Linked DNA regions of Sus scrofa. The main gene of each other region encodes a partner of the protein of the gene in region 4 in a complex. Links are inferred from orthologs where the notes say so. Each region holds a gene or a part of one and is shown on either strand. Other genes may lie near its edges. The genes, in order: HDAC3, CORO2A, GPS2 and TBL1XR1.

Region 1 (3,107 bases), on a different chromosome or scaffold from region 4:
CACAATGGGAACTCCCTGAGTTTGTTGTTTGTTTTTTCATCTGTAGTTCCAGGCTGGTATCTGGGTCTCGTCTCTGCACTGTGCACAGTCCTCTCTTAACAGCCAGTAGAAGCCTCGAGCCTTTTCCTGTCCTAAGCCCTGGTCACTGTCAGATTACCCACTGAGCTCCTTTTCTTTGCTACCTGGAGCTCCATTTGCAGAATCGTACTGAGAGTTACCACTTTTTGTGGGTTTGCTAAGCAGAGGAGTGAGTGCTTTATATTAAAGTACAGGTGATACATGTCGTCGTGTCCTCATTCTCTTGCCATCAGACAACCCTAAGAGGTTGTATCCTCCTTAAATTACCAGAAGAGGAGGTTACATAACTGACTTAACAGAGGTCCCACAGCTAGTCAGGTAAATATCAGGGCTGAGATGCAAAGCTGAGTCTCTGAGCCTCACCTTATAACCCTGGTGCCCTTAGAGGTCCCTCAGACTTTGCTTTCCAGGCAGAGGGGGCCTTTCCTGCTTGGGTCCCCAGCTTCTCTTTGATGCCTTTCTCCCTTCTTTCTCGCTTACCAGCTGTGGGCAAGATAATTCCATTATTAGTCATTCCCGTTCTCCCAGAGGGCAGTTTTCCACACGCACGAGAACGGCGTTGAATACTCATTGGGCCTTGCATTGCTTTCACGCTCCTTTGCTCTCTAGAGGTTTATTGGATGCCATGCCTCTGTTTAAAGCGCTTCTTTCCATTGCACTAGAAGAAAAGCCAAGTTTCCTTTGTTTTTTTTTTTGGTCTTTTTGCCATTTTCTAGGGCCACACCCATGGCATATGGAGGTTCCCAGGCTAAGGGGTGGAATCGGAGCTGTAGCCATCAGGCTACACACCACAGCCACAGCAATGCAGAATCCGAGCCGCGTCTGCAACCTACACCACAGCTCACAGCAACGCCGGGATCGAACCCACAGCCTCATGGTTCCTAGTCGGATTCATGAACCGCTGAGCCACGACGGGAACTCCTAAAGCCACGTTTCTGATGGTGGCTTTCTAAGGACTTGCGTGCTGGCCCTTCCCACGTGCGGGCTCCTCTCTGAGGCCCCTCCGCCCTCCACACGTCTGACCGTCCTGACCCCCTTCTCTTGCTGGAACCCGTCCGCTCCGTCGGCCTTCGAACCTCTGTACTGGTGTCCTCACGGGTTGGACCGCCCTTCCTGGGCGGCTCCTTCGCAGGGGAAGGTCCTCCCTTCTTCCTCCAGCCTTTCCTGACAATCCTGCCTGAGGTTTTCCCCTCGTCCTCCCACACTCCCAGCCACGTGCTTTCCCCCCTGAAATGACCGTGGTTATGTTTTTACTTTGTTACTTATCGTCAGCCTCGTTTATTGGAGGGGTTTTTGAGGCTAGGCAGCCATTCTGTCTGGCTTGCTCTCTGCTCTCTGGCTATGGCAGTGCCTGGCACAGAGTGCTCTCTCAGCAGGTGTTTATGGATGCATGAATGGGCGTGTGAATCCTGACTGGTCGCTACGAGCAGGAGGAGAGGCGCGGTTCCCCGACAGCGGGGGCCTGGGAAGTGGCTCCAGAGAGGGTGCCTGTGGGGGAGAAGATGGGAATTGGAGAGTGGGAGCCTGACCTCTCTTCCTGTCTTTCCTTGCTTTGTAGGCCGGAGGCGCCCAATGAGTTCTATGACGGAGACCATGACAATGACAAGGAAAGCGATGTGGAATTTAAGACTGACTGGGCTTGCCGTGTCCCCAGGAATTTCTTTTTTCCTCTTAGTTGGGTGGGAGGGAAAGGTGTGACTCCCCTACCCCTGGTCTGGTTACTTTCAGGGCAGTTACCAACACCGGGGGAGGCTTTGGAGACCACCTCTGGTTCTTGAACCAGCTGTTCCCTTTCTTCTCCCTCCAAGGCTAGACCACGGTACCTGTTAGGGATCGGATGGGGATAAGGATAGACGTCTCTAGGACCTCTCGGGCCGTGGGCCCTAGAGGCCAGTCCCAGCCCTTCTGGCTTCCTCATTCCTTCTCTGCTTCCCTCCAACCCAGAGACTTTGGGGATGAAGGAATAGGCAGCAGTACGGTTGCTTCTGACGTCCACCTCCCCAGGCTTCTCCTACTGCAAGCCTTGCTTCCAGGTGAAGAGTAAGGGATTTTAGGGAGCCCTGGCCCCCTAATACTTTAACCCAGATAATGGGAAGTGTGACTTGGAAAGGGGGGAGGATATGAAAATGTCCTGCTCTAACTTTTGGCTTTATGTCCATTTTACCACTGTTTTTATCCAATAAACCGAGTTGGTATTTTTTGTACCTTTTGCCTTCTGGGAATGTTTTTTTATTTTTTGGCTTTTTTGCATTTTCTAGAGCCGCTCCTGAGGCATAGGGAGGTTCCCAGGCTAGGGGTCTAATCGGAGCTGTAGCCACCGGCCTACGCCAGAGCCACAGCAGTGCGGGATCTGAGCCGCGTCTGCAACTACACCACAGCTCACGGCAGCGCCAGATCCTTAACCCAATGAGCAAGGCCAGGGATCGAACCTGCAACCTCATGGTTCCTAGTCGGATTCGTAAACCACTGCACCACGACGGGAACTCCGTGGGAATGTTCTTAATTCTTGCTAGCTGTCTGTGCACGAAGAGCGAGGAGATGGGTTAATATGTATATAATAAAAATCATGGTAAACATTCATTCTGCACGTACGTTACCTTAGGACATGTGTATATTATTCCATGTGGATGATCTTCCTTGTATGTGGAGGGTTAACAGAGCATTCTAGTCAAGAGTTAGACAAACCTGGGCAGAGCAGTTACTTGAGGAGGAGTCGATTCAGGTGTTGGACGCTAGGTGTTGGGAATGGTGATGCTGATTGCTGAACGAGCACTGAGAGGAAACATGCCAGGTCCTGAGCCTGCTGTAAGCAGTTGCTCATTATCTTCATTGTCTTTGTGAAAAATGATGCCAAATACTGTGGTAGCCACAAACACGGACTCTTCCCTGGAGGCGTTTCCAGTCCAGCAGGGAGTGAGATAAATGCTGTGGTAGGTGTAGACGGGGGACAAGAAAGAAGAGTCATAGTTGGATCACTTCGGCCATGCTTTGATTCTGTCTGTTTCTCAACATTTTCGCTTAGAAAGTAG
Region 2 (4,694 bases), on a different chromosome or scaffold from region 4:
GGTTTCCTGGCCCATCTCAATAAGCAATAAGGCCCAAAAGAAGGTGCCAGCAAATGGGCCCAACTCTGGGGCCAGACCTACTGTGTGGTTTCATAGCTAGGGAACTCTGGGCAGGTCATCCCCACTCTGGCTTCAGTTTCCCCATGTGTGCAATTCACATGGTCAGAGGTAGCCTTCATAAAATGAACCAGGATAACAGGAAAGGACAGGACAAGAGAATGAGGAACACACACGTGCAGGGAGCATCTCTAGGAAAGGTACCACCTTCTGTCTATTACAGAGGCTTCCAATGGTCTCCCCTCTGGCCCATTGGTCCTATGCCCATGTGGAACCAGAGAGGTCCCCAAACACAGTCCCAGCCGCCTATCATCATGGCAACTGCGGTGATGCATTTAAGGTGCCCAGAACAGTGCCCGGTTCTTCAGGAGTTGGGAAGATGCAGATATGAGGCTGGGAGGGAATGTCCACAAGGGTTCTGGGAAGCCTTCCTGGGGAAGGACATGGAAGGAAGAAATGAATCTGTTTAGACAGTAGACCATGATATGGGAAGAGAATTCCTGGCAGAGAGGACTGCGAACAAGGGCACAAAGATATGAGAGTGCAAATGGGTAGGAAATGCATACCATAGTTACTGGCTGAAGCCCTAGGTGAATTAAGACATTCGGGTGAATTAACACTTACTGAGCCAGGCACTGTTCTAGGCCCTGGAGATACACCACTGAACAAACAGTTGTTCTCATGAGAGACGGTGTGGTGGAGTGACTATAAGCTTGGGCTTGGGAGCCACACTGCCTAGGGTTGTACTGATACTGGTGTCATCTTAAGAAAGGTACTTAACCTCTGTGAACTTCAGATTTCTTATGTGTAAAATAGGTAAAAGCTAACCTAGTAGGTTTATGTGTCGATAAACTGCGGTGATGCATTTAAGGTGCCCAGAACAGTGCCCGGTTCTTCAGGAGTTGGGTGGTGATATTACAAAAAGGCTGGGCTTCCCCATCTCCGCCCCCACTGCCCAAGGCGGCAAGACTAAGCAGCAGCGCCCCCTCTTGGCTACCGATAGAAAGAAGGGCGTCCTCCCATACTCAGAGATCCTCCCTGCCCTCTTCCTCTCGACGTACCGGGAACCCCCAGGAATTACTCCAACAGCTCGGGTTCACCAAGCGCTACTCCTGTGGCCGTCTCTGAGTGCGCACATTACTGCGCCGGTAAATTAGATCGTCACTTCCAATTCTCAAACAACTCTGAAGCAGACACGGTTTGTTTCCACTCCACCTAAGGGTAAAGTGACCCTCCCGGAAGGATCGAATCCCTTGTCTCATACCACTCCGCGAGAAAGCGACGGGATGTGAAGGAAGGCAACCCCAGCCTCTACTCGGTCCCCGGGGAGCCCGCCCCATTCACTGCGGCGTGTGCGCGCCGCTGTGCGAGCCCTTTCTCTGTGCGAATGCGCGCCCCGAGACAAGCTCCGGGGTACCAGGAACGCGGCCCAAGGGCCGAGGAAGGAAGGGTGGCCTGGCGGACTCGCGGGCGGGGCTTGTGCTCGGCCCCGGCCCCTCCCACCGGCCCCTCCCGCTGGGCTGAGGGTGGGAGGAGGCGGCAGCGCTGGGCGCGGGGACTCGGCGGGCAGCGAGGAGCTCAGAACCAGAGCCAGACGCCGCCGCCGCTACCGCCACCTGCGCGGCCGTCATCAAGGTAGGGCGGTCCCGGGCCGCCGGGCTATGCCTTCCCCGTCTGCGCGATGTGCTCGTGCTGCGCCTCTGAGCTGCAACGCCTGGGGAGGGATGCTGGGGCTCGGCGCACCGCTGGGGACCTGGCGGGACGCGGGGAACCTGGCGTTCGACACCTCTGCGTGACCTTGCAAAAAGCACTGCTTCTCTCCAGGCCTCAGTTTCCCCATCGGGATAGCGGGCACAAGGATGGCCCCTTCGTCGCTGGGCTGTGGGGAGGGGCCGCCTCAAGCTCCAGGCTCCCGACGGCGCAGGGTCGGATGGGCACTGTCTGCACAGCCCACCCGCAGTGAGGGCTGCTCTTGCTGGGTGTGGCAAGCCGGTCCCGACAGTCCCCCCTAGTGGCCTGGGTGCCCCGCGGGACCCGTGTTGGGACTCTTCCCTCTCCTGGCTGGGTAACCTGCTGGGCCTCAGCTTCCCTGCACAGGAAACATTAATAGGCGACACCCCCAGGTCCCTGTCAAGCCAGCCTGGGCATGCAGGGTGGGGCAGTCAGAGTCTAAGCCTAGTCTTCCTCGCGGTCTGGGGCTGGAGGAGCCCTAGGTTGGAGGTGGTGGAGCCCTCTGGCACAGACTTGCCTGGACCAGACCCACGCAAGTACCTGGATTTAGGGCATGGTATGCAATGTCTCCCCACCAGGTGCTAACGCCCAAATCTAAGTCCCAGCCTGATGTGATATGGTTGGCTTGTCCATGCATAGACGGACCTAGAGGAGCTACAGTGCCAAGAGATGGTGTTTGGGTGGGGTCGGGTCTGGGACAGAGCAAATGTCTGAGAGACTGTGGCTCCAAGATTTCTGGGTAAAGACGACCTCTGGTGTCTGTCCTGGCCCCTTGGTAAGATCCCTCTGGACCATCTCACTGCCCCACTGCACACCCCTTATGATGGGAATCTCACTCGCTGTAAACAGAGCTAGAGTCTGCTAGTCCTGCTCTGGCACACAGACAACATCTGACCCCTCCATCCCCACCCCAGGGCAATTATCTGGTCCCTTAAATCAGTTCACCTCAGGGTTAAACAGCCCCAGATCCAGAGCTGTTTCTCCTGTCAGAGCCAAAGGGAGCAAAGGCAAGACAAGAGAGCTGAGGTGTCTGCCCTGGAGCAGTTAGTAGTCAGCCTGAGGCTTGTTCAGAACCCACCTTCATCAGGACTGGAATGTGTCCCCTGTACCTCTGGAAAGGTAGCTGCCTTAGAGGTCTGGAGTGAGAGGAGGAGCCAGAGGAGCCTCTCTCCAGCCCTTCCAGCCCAAGGGTCCCTGTCTTCTGTTGCCTGCTCTGATTGAAGGAGTAGTTTCTGAAAATCGAGCCTGGGCTTTCTCGATTGTACCCCCTCCTGACCTGCCCCTCACCTGGGAACTTTCCTACAGCCAAAAGAAGGGGCTGCCAGGATAGGTGATAAGCTCTGTGTCATCAGAGATGTGAGCAAAGGCTGGATGAGCACTTCCCAGGGTTACACTTGACTGTAAGTCTGGGACTCTTAAGGCCAAAATAGAGTAACCAGGGCCTTACCTTCTGGCCATGATGGAGCTGCACAACTTGAAGCTAGACCACAAATGAGTGTTATTATTCTCTCATAAAAGCAGGCTAAGTATATGTGCTATCACCCGAGCGTAGCTCCAATGCACAGGCTTAAGTGCTACCTATGTCTCCCATCATCACTACATGTGTATAATCTGGGCTCTTTTTTCCTGCTCTGCTAGTCCGAGCCATTTGGGCCTTGATTTAGAGGTATGGCAGATTGTGGTTATTAAAAAGTCATCCTGTGCCAATAATTAAAAAATGCACCATGAAATTATGGAATATCCAGCTAAAACAGATCTTAGGAAATCATCTCATCCAACCTCTTCATTTTACAGATAGGTATCCCCTAAGGGGATGTGACTTGTTAAAAGTCACCCAGCAGACAAGCAACCAAGCCCAGGGATCTTAATTCCAGGACCAGAGTGAGTGAGTGAGTGAGTGAGTGAGTGTGAGTGTGAGTGTGTGTGTGTGTGTTTGCTTGTTTGAAAACACATACCATATAGTAAACGAAAGCAATCAGTATTTATTCCTATAAAATTAATAAAAATAAATATAAAAGGATAAATCTCTATGCTGGCAAAGCTATAGGATTCTCCAGCAGCATTTAATTTTGCAGGGCTATCTGTCAGCTCGTTTCAAAAGTCCTATGACAAAGATCCTAACTTCCTTTGCCCCTAGCCTTCTACTTTGAGGACTTTACCCTAAGGAAGTAATTACAGAGTTGAGTGTAGTGCTATTATTTTCTAAAGAAGTTATAGTGAAGAGGTTCTTGGTGTTTTACCTGAGGATTAATAAACTTTTCATTTAAAAAATACAGCTTTAAAAATAGAAACATTAGGAGCTCCCGCTATGGCACAACAGGATCATCAGCCTCGTGGGAGCTCTGGGACTGGGGTTCAATCCCCAGCCCAGCACAGGAGGTTAAGGATCTGGCATTGCTGAAGCTGTGGCTTAGGCCTTAACTACGGCTTGGATCTGATCCCTGGCACTAGAGCTCCGTATGTCTTGGGGCAGCCAAAAATGGGGCGGTGGGGGGCACGGGGTGACACCAAAGCTTCCATTGCTGTAGTCTGGCCAGCACAGGAGCAGTGTGGTCCAGAGGAAAAGCCATGAGACTCATGTCAGCAGATGTAGATTCCAGGATGAACTCTTCCTCCATCCCACCGTGTAAGCTTATGGCAATCCCAGGCCCTTTCTGTACCTCATTTCCCCTATCTGTGAAATGGGGTAGATTCAGTGCTGAGTTTCTTTTAGTTCTGACAACCCACATTCTAGACTTAGCAAATCTCTGTAACAGAAGCCTTTATTAGAAGGAACAGGAGTTCCTGTCATGGCGCAGTGGTTAACGAATCTGACTAGGAACCATGAGGTTGTGGGTTCGATCCCCGGCCTTGCTCAGTGGATTAAGGATCTGGCATTACCATGAGCTGTGGTGTAGGTCATAGAC
Region 3 (4,963 bases), on a different chromosome or scaffold from region 4:
TTACTCCCCCATAGCCCTTTATCCCAAGCACCACCCCAACAGACTGGGGACCAGCCCCCTCCCCTGCTGATGTCTCTCCCCAAGTCCCTTTAGATGGGAGGGAAGAGGAGGAGAGGGGAGGGGACCTGCCCCCTCCTCAGGCATCTGGGAGGGCCCTGCCCCCCATGGGCTTCACCCTTTCCTGCGGGCTCTCTCCCCGACACATTTGTTAAAAATCAAACCTGAATAAAACTACAAGTTTAATATGAAGCCCCCAACTCAGCTGCTTCTTTGAATTAAATGGTATTTGCTGACCGGGAAGTCAATGTGGAAATGAGAAAGTGATTGGTAATCTGCTGTCCCACTGTGATTCCTGCGTCCTGCGGACCTGCCGCCCACTCCCACCCCCACCCCCACCCCAGGCAGCCCAGTGGGAGGTAACACAGACAGTAGCAGCATCGGGGGCAGTGGCAGGTAGATTTTATTGGCCTGGGACTGAGGCACACCAGGGATCCTCCCCCACAGTAGGGGGCAGGGGCTGGGAGCGAGGTTGATAGACTCTGATGGTCACTTGTGGTAGAATCGCGGGTTCTGGCTGTGCTGGATGAAGGGGAGCCGAGGGCCAGGCTGGCTGGTGGTTGCAAAGCCCGACTGGCAGCAGTAATGAGAGGAGGGCTTTGTCAGTGCGCGCCCTTCCCCTTCCTTCTACTCCCGCAGGGGACTGACAGCCATGGCAGAGGAGGAGGGAAAAAGGGGGGCAGGGACCACCTGTCCTACCCAGTCCTTTTTTCAACTTGGTGATGTAGGCATTCTGGTGGGCTTACCTTTCCTGCTGGTTGCATCTGCACAGGGAGCTGGGGTGAGGCAAGCAGTCCAGGGGCTGGATGCAGAGCTTGGGGATGCATGGGGCGTAGGGAGGACTGCAGAGAACAAAGTCAGCTGAGGCAGCCTGGGGCTCCCCTTAGTGTGGGCAGCCCTTCCCCTGACTTCCCAAGATTTTACTCACTGAGTCAGAGAAGCCAGTTTGTTGGTTAGCGTGTTCCATCTGCTTTTGTAAGGACAGGGCGCCACCGGGCTGGAGGAAGCCTAGGTGGGGAGGAAGGGTGTGTGAGGTGAGTAGAGAAAGGAGGCGAAGAGGAAGGGAGGAGGACCGCTGGAACTGGGCCCCTGCGTGGTGTCTGTCTACCATCACCTGTCTGGGTGGGCTGAAAGTGGCTGTGCACAGCATAGGGCTGTGGCTGTGGCTGAGACAGGTACTGCACTGCAGGAAATGCCGAAGGTGCTGAGGAAGGCAGGAGACAGCCATTAGGACCTCCTGGTAGCCTGTTCACAACACTCCTCCCTTAGAGCCTTGAGGAATGCCCCTCCTCCCCTTTGCCCAAGGCTCACCTCTGAGCTGCTGACTAGGACTATAGGCAGGCTGGGTGGGTCCATAGTGAGGTGGGGGCTGAGCAGTCCCATAGGCGCCGCCGGGGCTGCCTTGGAACTGCCCATGCTCCGGGGTCCCTGCGAAAGCAGCTGCTGAGCCCACGTAGTGTCGGTTCTAAGGAGGGAGGACGAGAACCACTGTAAACTCCATGAAGCAAAAACTTGAGTGACTGAAAGCCCCATTTCCCCAACACACTCATGACTTGAATGCTGGTTGGGTAAGGATGCGAGGCCGGCTGGAAGTAGCGGGAGTAAATGACAGCCTAGATACCCAGTCCTCCTGCTCTTACTGTAAGCACTTGGGGGCCGAACATCTGTTTGGCTCTGTCAGCTGCCATGAGGGTGCCTGGCCGATTGTGTCCTCCGGGGCTCCCTAGAGGGAGACGGGCTTGTGATGCTGCAAGAAGAGGCTGCAACCCCCAGGAAGGCCCATCTGACAAGTGGTTTCTTTAATCCTCACCCTGCATGCTGAGGAGGTGAGTTCCTGTGTGAACAGTCAGGCCTTGCTGGTATGCTGCCGATGTCAGAGTGGTCAGGTCACTGAACAAGAGGCAGGCACATCAGATCAAAGGCAAGCCTTTTCCCCTCTCCGCTCCCGCAAAAAACTTGATCTCTTGTTACCTGATCCCAGTTAGACTTTGGGCCCCAATTTTATTTTTAGCTGCCCAATCTCACCTCTGCTCCTTCCGCCTCCGTTTTTCTTCCTCATGTAAAACTTTCTTGAGCTGCAGGAAAAGCTGGTGCTTCTCTTCCTGGAGGGCCGAAAGCTTCTCCTGCAACTTCAGGATCTGGGAAGGAAGGAGAGGGATGAAAGCAAGAGAGCCAAGGGCAGAAAGGGCTGGGGAGAGATCAAGGGACTGCTTACTTGTTCCTTGGTCTCCTCTAGTGACATTCTCTCTTCCATTTCCTTTTTTTTCCTTCTCTCCTGCTCTTCCTTCATCTTTTGTTCCATCATCTTGTCCACCTCTTCTTCCTCTGGAAGAGTCAGAGTCAGGCAGAATGGGGAAGTGGCAGAGTGGTTAAAAGATTAGAATGTTAGCGATTGAAAGCCAGCAAAAACTGGTATCCCACTACACTTGGTACGAACTCTTTCCCTCTAAAAGAAACAGGTTTGCCCACCACTGCAAGAGGACACTGGGGACAGGGAAGTTTGTTAGGTGCTCTCCAAGGTCCTTGCCAGCTCACGGTTCTGGAGTTTAGATCTGGCCTCAGACTCCCGCCACGTCGGGGCTATCGGTCCCTCCTCTAGCTGTGGCCGCCGCGCAGGGTCTGCCCGTAGGTCGGGGTCAGCCCCGGGAGAGCAGCGCGCCCCGGGCCGTGCGTCCTCCCGCTCTGGCCCCAGCTCACCCTGCCGCTTGCGCTCCCGCTCCATCATGATGTGCCGGTGCAACGCCCTGGCCATGGCGTTGGAAAGCTTGGGGCGCTCCAGGAGCGCAGGCATGGTGCTGCTGGGGGCGCTCGGGCCGTGGACGCCCGGCTCTGTCACTGGCTGCCAGACCTCAGACCGGGCCTGCGGGGAGGCGGGCGCTCAGAGGGAGCGGACCAGGCCGGGGCGGAAGCCACTCGCCCGCCGCCCCGGTCACGTGCCTGCCGCCGGGCCGGCCTAACAGCGCGGCTCCTCCGCGAGCGCGGGCGGGGGTCTCGGCCTCGGCGCTCCCGCTCCCTGCCCGCTACCCGGGCGCCGGCCCCTCCCTACCCGTCTTCTCGTCGCTTTCTCCGCGGCCTCCCGAGCGCCTGGGCCGTGGCGTCACATCCGGCCGCTGGGCCGAATCCTTCCGGAGTCGAGGCTGTCGCGGCGCTCGCGGGCCGGCGGGGCGGGGCGGGAAGGCGGAAGCGCGGGCGACGGGTGCCCGCGGCGTCCAAACGCCTCCGCTGCGCCCCGCCCGGCGTCGACCCCGAGGGCGGAGCCCCTGACGTGGCGGGGCCGGGTCTCCTCCCGGGTCGGGGCGGGGGGGACCGAGAGGCGCGCGCGCGAGAGGCCAAGGCGGCTGCTCTGAGACGGCGTTTATTGGCTCCTTAGAAATCAGAGTCAGTAACAACTGTACAGAGGCCCCGACCCGCGCCCGCCTTCCCCACTCCCGCCCGGCCCGGAAAAGCAGCTTCGTGTGGGGCGCGGGGAGGCGCCTCTGGCCTTCACAGTAACCAGGAACAGAAACGGAAATAAATTAAGTGTAGGGGGAGGAGTGGCGGGGAGGCGCGCTCCCCAGATCAGTGCATGGAGAGGGTTCCCCAGGGCCGGCGGCCGGACCCCTCGCCGCCCTCGCCTCGAGGGGCTGTCCAGTCCCGGCCCCGGGCGCTCCTCTGCGAGCCCGCCTACATGCTCCTGTGCATCTGCCAGGCTGAGCACCGTGCATGCCGCGCGTCACTGGAATGAGGTGGAGGCAGTCGTCACTCAGAGTCCACGGGCCCAAGGCCCTGCTGTGCTTGTCGTAGTGCGGTGTCACCCCTCATTCCACCCGTACCAGCAGGGCATAGAGGAGCGTGGCCCCCTTCTCCTTGGTCACCCACTCGAGTTCAGCTGGGCTGAAGTGAGGGTCGGGAGGCTCTCTGAGGGCAGCAGAAGGGGGCCCGGGGGTGTAGGAGCCAGGGCGCACGCACACCTGGAACGCCACCTGGGCCTGGTGCGTCCGCTGGGATTTGGGGTCCCGGAATCTGGCAGGCAAGAAGCAGAAACGGGACAGTGAGGCCTCTGCTCCCAGTACCCCTCGCTCTTGCTGGCTGCAACCACCGCCCTGACGGTGACCGCGAGCCTGAGCAGCTGGCCTTGCTGTTGCCAGGCATCAGCCCCTCCTTACTGGGACTTGGCTCCGCCCTTTCCTCCCAAGGGTCTTCCTCCCATGCCCGCTCCCCTCGCTCCCTCCCCTCCCCTCTCCAGGCCTTTGCTCAAATCCCACCTTCTTCTTTTTTTAGGCCCGTTCCCATGGCATAAGGAGATTCCCAGGCTAGGGGTCTAATTAGAGCTGTAGCCACCGGCCTACGCCAGAGCCACAGCAAGTGGGATCCGAGCCACATCTGCAACCTACACCACAGCTCACGGCAACGCCGGATCCTTAACCCACTGAGCAAGGCCAGGGATGGAACCCGAAACCTCACGGTTCCTAGTCGGATTCATTAACCACTGAGTCACGACGGGAACTCCAAATCCCACCTTCTTAATGACGTCTGCCGCCACTACCCTATTTCATAGGCCGGGTCCTGCCACGCTTCTGATCCACCTCACTCCACTCTACATTTTGTTTCCATAGTATTTACATGTCACCTTCAAAGATACTAACTACTAAACACTCATTAGGCACAAACACTCCAGAGCAAGAGAGGGCAGAAGTTCCACGTGGCTAGGGTTCCCTTTTTTGTTCTGTGTGATAGGACCAAGTAAGAGGTCTTTGTTCAAAGACTGTGTGAGGGCTGGGTGGAGATGGGCTGGGAAGGAGGGTAACACCAGATCTGAGCAGCCCTGGGCCCCTCCCAGGTACTCACTGCACTTTGGATGCCAGGGTCTCGGCCCCGGCATATTGGAGGGAGGGGGAAAGCAGCACTGGAGGGGGCTGCTCCTCTC
Region 4 (4,799 bases):
AATTGTACTCTTAGGGAGTCCATTTCCAGAGGCAGTGAATAGCAAACCTCTCCAGCATGACCTCCTTCACAGGTTGTTCTGTTCTGTTCTCTTTTTTAACTTCAAGTATCTGTTGGTGATAGAGCAGGAGATAGGGCCATGGTGGTCTCCAAATCAGTGAACTACCATTTCTCTACTACACAGCACCCCCCCCCCGGGGGGGGGGTCCTTAGCCCTTCAATACTATGTATATTTATAACTGTCTCAATGTTAGCTGCTTTCTTCTTTTGCATTTCATTGACTTATACTTTAAATGTCATTTATGAAATGAGTCAAATTCTATGTACTAGAAAAATACAAAGTCCCAGACAGTGCCAATATTTTTGCCGTCCTCTCCTCTGACTTCCTTACTAGTCACATTCTTCTCAATTCTTTTTATATAAATAACACAGAAACTGAACAAACCCAACAAATTATTTATACTAACTTCATCAAAATGCATCAAGTCAAAAATTCTTTGTAGTAATAATTGCTGGAGTAAATTGGAGGAGGAGTCCTGTCAGCTACTTATTTGATAAAGTGGTACTTATATTTCACTGCCATATAAAAACCGATTATTCATTCAACAGGTTGCCATTCAAAAGGTCCATCAGTCATATTTCTATTTACCAGTAACCCCTGTGTGTTAAGCTTCTACCCCATCTGCTTGATAGGCCCCCAGTACAGAGGAAGCAGTGATCTCTTGGTAGGAATGTATCACAGTAATCATGACAAATCTTAATTTGATATTGAGATGTTGAGAATACGTAAAAGTTATTAAATATTTAACACTTCTTTGAAGCAACCAATTAAAAAATACAACCTTCAAAAGGGGCCATTCCATTTACCAAGGGTGTCTCCCATATTAATAACCAAAGTTGATATATGCTGGAAGAAAAATCATAAACTGGTGATGAGCTATGAAACAATTTTTATGCCATTAGTAAGTCCCTTAATTAAGTTCCTTAACAATAAAAAAAAAAAAAAACTTTTTTCAATGTGCATACTATTTTCATCCCCCACACAGCTTAGTATTTTGTCCTCTAGGTCTGATTTTAACTACTCAAATGGCAAAAAATAGTAATTATCTATGTATGGACTTAATGGTTATGATTACATATATCACACAGTACATGACAGCAGAAATGGACAAAACATCATATTCCAAAGAAGCAGAAAAACCTGATTTAAGAGCAAAAAGTATAAACAGGAATCACGAGCCTAACCACTCTCAGGCCTATTCTCCTTCTGCTGCCCCTCCTCCACAGGTAAATGCTAACTATTTCTAGAACGTGCTCAATGATAATTTCCGAAACTTGCTTGCCATGAACTCCCACGATACAACCCTACACACTGTTTTCATGGAGACAAAGCTGCCCTATTTCCCTAGACTATAAACTTGTTATAAATGGTGAGAACATACAGTCCCAGTAAGTCAAGATTACAAAAATACACCAAGCAACATGGATCTTATTTAACAAAAATGAAAATAAACCACATTGGGAAAACAAAAAAGTCACCCATTGTACTTCCAATGTGTAACCAAGATATATATTACAATTTCTTTAGGTAAGTAAATGAAAACACCACCAGGGCCTTATATCCGATAAAGGAGTCTTTAAGAAAAACGGGGGAAGGGGGGGTGATTATATGGGGGAGGGGAAATCAAACCATTCCGACTAAAAATAACCCATCATTTCACCCACCATATTTTATTAACAAGCTTGTTTAGATTAGCATAAGGGTCTTGTTTGGAAAACAAGAAAGCCAATAGTCAACTTCCCTCAGTCAACTGTAAAATCACATATGTACTAAAACTCTTCACCTTGGTGCCTGCACAGTACACGGTTTTAAGTAAACTCCGGACACTGAGAAAGAGCAAGTTTTAAACTAGGTTCCAACACTTTTGTAAATTTTAATCACCAAATTATTTTCGACAATGTTATTAGATAACCTAAAAACGGGAGGGTTTTTTAAGAGCCATTACAACCAAAATTTCACGTGAAACACCATTTTCACAAACCTAAATTTATTCTCGGTTGCCACTGCAAAGTGATGCCTGTTTGAGCAAATTAGGAACTTCCAAAAATACTGAACACGTTAACACATGCATGGCTTCCCTTGAACTGCCATTTCAGATTAATATTTCACTTAAATAAAAGTCTGTTTCTGTTCAAAAAATGACATCGGTTGCAAAGAGGAAGTTACCAAGAAACCACCCTCACAACGTGGCCTTTACACTGTCAGAAAATAATGTGACTCTGAGCCACCCAAAACTTACCAGGAAGCTGGCAATAACTTTGCCAATTCTACACTTCTGAACCCAACTTCAAAGTGGCTCTATCAAATATCTTCTCCAGACGATAAAAAGCACTAAGTTACAAACAAACACGTCCAGGAGTGCGGCCCCGCCGCCGCGCGCCCCTCCCCCGCCCGCGCCCCCGCCCGGGACGCACGGCCCTAACAGCCACCCGCAGCCCCCCGCACGCCGGCCGGGGTCGCCGCGCCTGGGCCCGGGCCGCGCCGGGGGAGGGGAGCGGATTTCCATTGCTGCCTAAGGTTTAACAAAATAACACGCACAGTAGAGATCCCTCTCCCCTGCTAAAAATAGGCTATAAAGGAGTCGGCCTCATGATGGCTCCTTGATTCAATTTGCTGCACATTCCTTCCTGAAAGCCTCCCCCTATACAACACACACACACACACACACACACACACACACACACTCACACACAAAGGGGGTGTAAACGGATGAAGGGTGGAAGATGGGGAGAAGGCCGAGGTGCACATTTTCGGGGACAACAGCATAATAAGGGTGAGGATCCCCCGGGACCAGGAAAGGGTAGGGGGTGGGCAGGCACGTGAGCATTTCAAAGAAGCCTGAGAGAGCTAAAAGGGGGGATGGGGCACCCTAAATGCCTTTCCTTTCTCTCCCTCCCCCACCAAACCCCCAGCTCCCCGAAGGGCCAAGTTGAAAATGCACGTTCCACTTGAGCCCATCCCCCCGCCGGCCGGCGCCCCCGAACTACCTCCGCCCGCGCCCCCCGCCCCGGCCCGCAGCCCCCACCCCGGGGTCCGGCCCCCGGCGCTTACCTGGAAACGGTGGCCTCCGACGCGCTCCCCCCTCCCGGGAATGGAGGCACAAGGAAATTCCCCTCGTCGCCGCCGCCGCCGCCTCCAACCACCCCCAAAATAACCCCTCCGGGGGGTGAGAGGCAATTATAACCCCGGCAAGCGGAGGGCGCGGGGGATGGGCGCCGGGCGGGCGGGGGCGGGGAGCGCGGCGCGGGTCCCCAGGTGGCGAGCGGAGGTGCTCCCGCCGCGGGGGGAGGGGCGGGGGCGCACGCGGCCGGCGGCGGGGGGAGGCGGCGCGCGGGGGAAGGGCGCGAGCGGGGAGAGGAATTGAGGCAGAAGGTAAAAGCTGTTACTAAGGGAAAGAGCCAAACGGTTCGGAGCAGCCAACGGCTCAGACACTCAACACTGGGGAGAGAGGAATGGGGACCAGCCAGGCACAAATGAGCTCGCGAGGCCCGCGGCGGCGGCGGCGGCGGCGGCGGCGGCGGCCGCGCAGCAAAACAAACCCGAGCGGCCTGCGCCGGGCGGGCGCGCGGGGAGGGGCCGGCGGGGGAGGGGCGCCGCGGACGCGGGGAGGCGGTGGCGGCGCGGCTAGGGGGGCCTCTGCTGGCCCCGCTCCTCTCCCCGCCCGCCCGGGGCGGTGGCGCTGGGGGGGCTGGGCGGGTTCGGCGCAGCCTTTTAAAAAGAAAGAAAGACCCGCAGGCGCCCCGAGGCGCCACCGGGCCCGGACCGCCCCGCCCCCACCGCGGCGCGCGGCCGGGTGCGGAGAGGCCTGGGTGTTGGCCGCGCGGCTCAAGGCCCTGTGGGGGCGGGGATGCTCGCGCCGTCGCGAGGGGGGCATTGCTGGTAAACTTTCCTGGGTAGGCCGGCGTGGCCCCCGGGCACCCGGACGGCGCGGTGCGGCAGGTGGGCCATAACGCACGCAGGGAGCGTGTGCGGAGAGTACGGCGCAGGCATCATATGGACATGTGTTTGTGAGAAGATCTGCACGCACCTTTGTGTGCATAAATACATATGTTTCTCGGAAGCGTACCTGGAAAGGTGCTTTATCTGTAATAAGCGATTCTCAAAATGTAATCCAGAGCACAGGAACTGTACAGAAAACACGCACACAAGAAAAGGGTTTTGATACTAAACACAAAGCTGTAATTGAAGTGTTTATGCCCAAATGTACAGTGAATTAAACATATGGTGGTATTTATCGTCTGGTGGGTCTGTTTGAAAGGTTTGGTCGATCAATTCGCTTTTCACAAAAATAAAATAATGTAACTAAATGTTTACTAAATACATACTTCTAAGGCAGCATCGGCAGTACAAGTTTATCCACTTTGTGTACTTTTGCATGTGTGTAGCATATCAAGGCGGTTTATACAGTGTAACTTAGATGAGTGATGATGTGACAATATGAGAAAGGGAATGCAAGGGGTTATTTAAAAAAAGGGAAGCAAGCCACATTTTTTTTTTTAAACAAATGCGTTTATCTTTCTAAAGTCCTCAAAATCAGGGCTTGGGGTCTTCTAAGACCTTTGTATGAGCCTAGTGTATAACAAGCAGCTTACTCTTAAGATTAGGCCTAGAAGAAACCTTTTTATTGTTACTTTCGGTTATTCCTGTCTTTAAAGTAAAATAACATTTTCACAGCCTTTTTAGGTGAGGTGTTCTGTTTTCGTACTTTAATCACAATATTTGGAAATTGGTGTAGTCAT

Evidence for each region.
Region 1: TBL1XR1 (region 4) and HDAC3 share a complex: the UniProt entries of both Homo sapiens proteins name them as parts of the N-Cor repressor complex. The link is inferred for Sus scrofa from reciprocal best matches to the Homo sapiens genes TBL1XR1 and HDAC3.
Region 2: TBL1XR1 (region 4) and CORO2A share a complex: the UniProt entries of both Homo sapiens proteins name them as parts of the N-Cor repressor complex. The link is inferred for Sus scrofa from reciprocal best matches to the Homo sapiens genes TBL1XR1 and CORO2A.
Region 3: TBL1XR1 (region 4) and GPS2 share a complex: the UniProt entries of both Homo sapiens proteins name them as parts of the N-Cor repressor complex. The link is inferred for Sus scrofa from reciprocal best matches to the Homo sapiens genes TBL1XR1 and GPS2.

The regions. Positions count from the first base shown.
Region 1 is NC_010444.4:143,272,364-143,275,470, reverse strand, and holds the end of HDAC3 (histone deacetylase 3), read left to right. Parts: intron 1-1,636; coding exon 1,637-1,856; 3' UTR 1,857-2,283; downstream 2,284-3,107. UniProt on the Homo sapiens protein: Histone deacetylase that catalyzes the deacetylation of lysine residues on the N-terminal part of the core histones (H2A, H2B, H3 and H4), and some other non-histone substrates.
Region 2 is NC_010443.5:239,997,839-240,002,532, reverse strand, and holds the start of CORO2A (coronin-2A), read left to right. Parts: upstream 1-1,568; 5' UTR 1,569-1,692; intron 1,693-4,694.
Region 3 is NC_010454.4:52,664,430-52,669,392, forward strand, and holds GPS2 (G protein pathway suppressor 2), read right to left. Parts: upstream 3,215-4,963; 5' UTR 3,104-3,214; exon of another isoform or gene 2,995-3,103; intron 2,918-2,994; 5' UTR 2,849-2,917; coding exon 2,755-2,848; intron 2,383-2,754; coding exon 2,273-2,382; intron 2,196-2,272; coding exon 2,083-2,195; intron 1,948-2,082; coding exon 1,868-1,947; intron 1,781-1,867; coding exon 1,698-1,780; intron 1,523-1,697; coding exon 1,369-1,522; intron 1,262-1,368; coding exon 1,172-1,261; intron 1,066-1,171; coding exon 986-1,065; intron 900-985; coding exon 804-899; intron 631-803; coding exon 547-630; 3' UTR 440-546; downstream 1-439. UniProt on the Homo sapiens protein: Key regulator of inflammation, lipid metabolism and mitochondrion homeostasis that acts by inhibiting the activity of the ubiquitin-conjugating enzyme UBE2N/Ubc13, thereby inhibiting 'Lys-63'-linked ubiquitination.
Region 4 is NC_010455.5:115,484,837-115,489,635, forward strand, and holds the start of TBL1XR1 (F-box-like/WD repeat-containing protein TBL1XR1), read right to left. Parts: upstream 3,393-4,799; 5' UTR 3,112-3,392; intron 2,834-3,111; exon of another isoform or gene 2,726-2,833; intron 2,462-2,725; exon of another isoform or gene 2,300-2,461; intron 2,280-2,299; exon of another isoform or gene 1-2,279. UniProt on the Homo sapiens protein: F-box-like protein involved in the recruitment of the ubiquitin/19S proteasome complex to nuclear receptor-regulated transcription units. Plays an essential role in transcription activation mediated by nuclear receptors.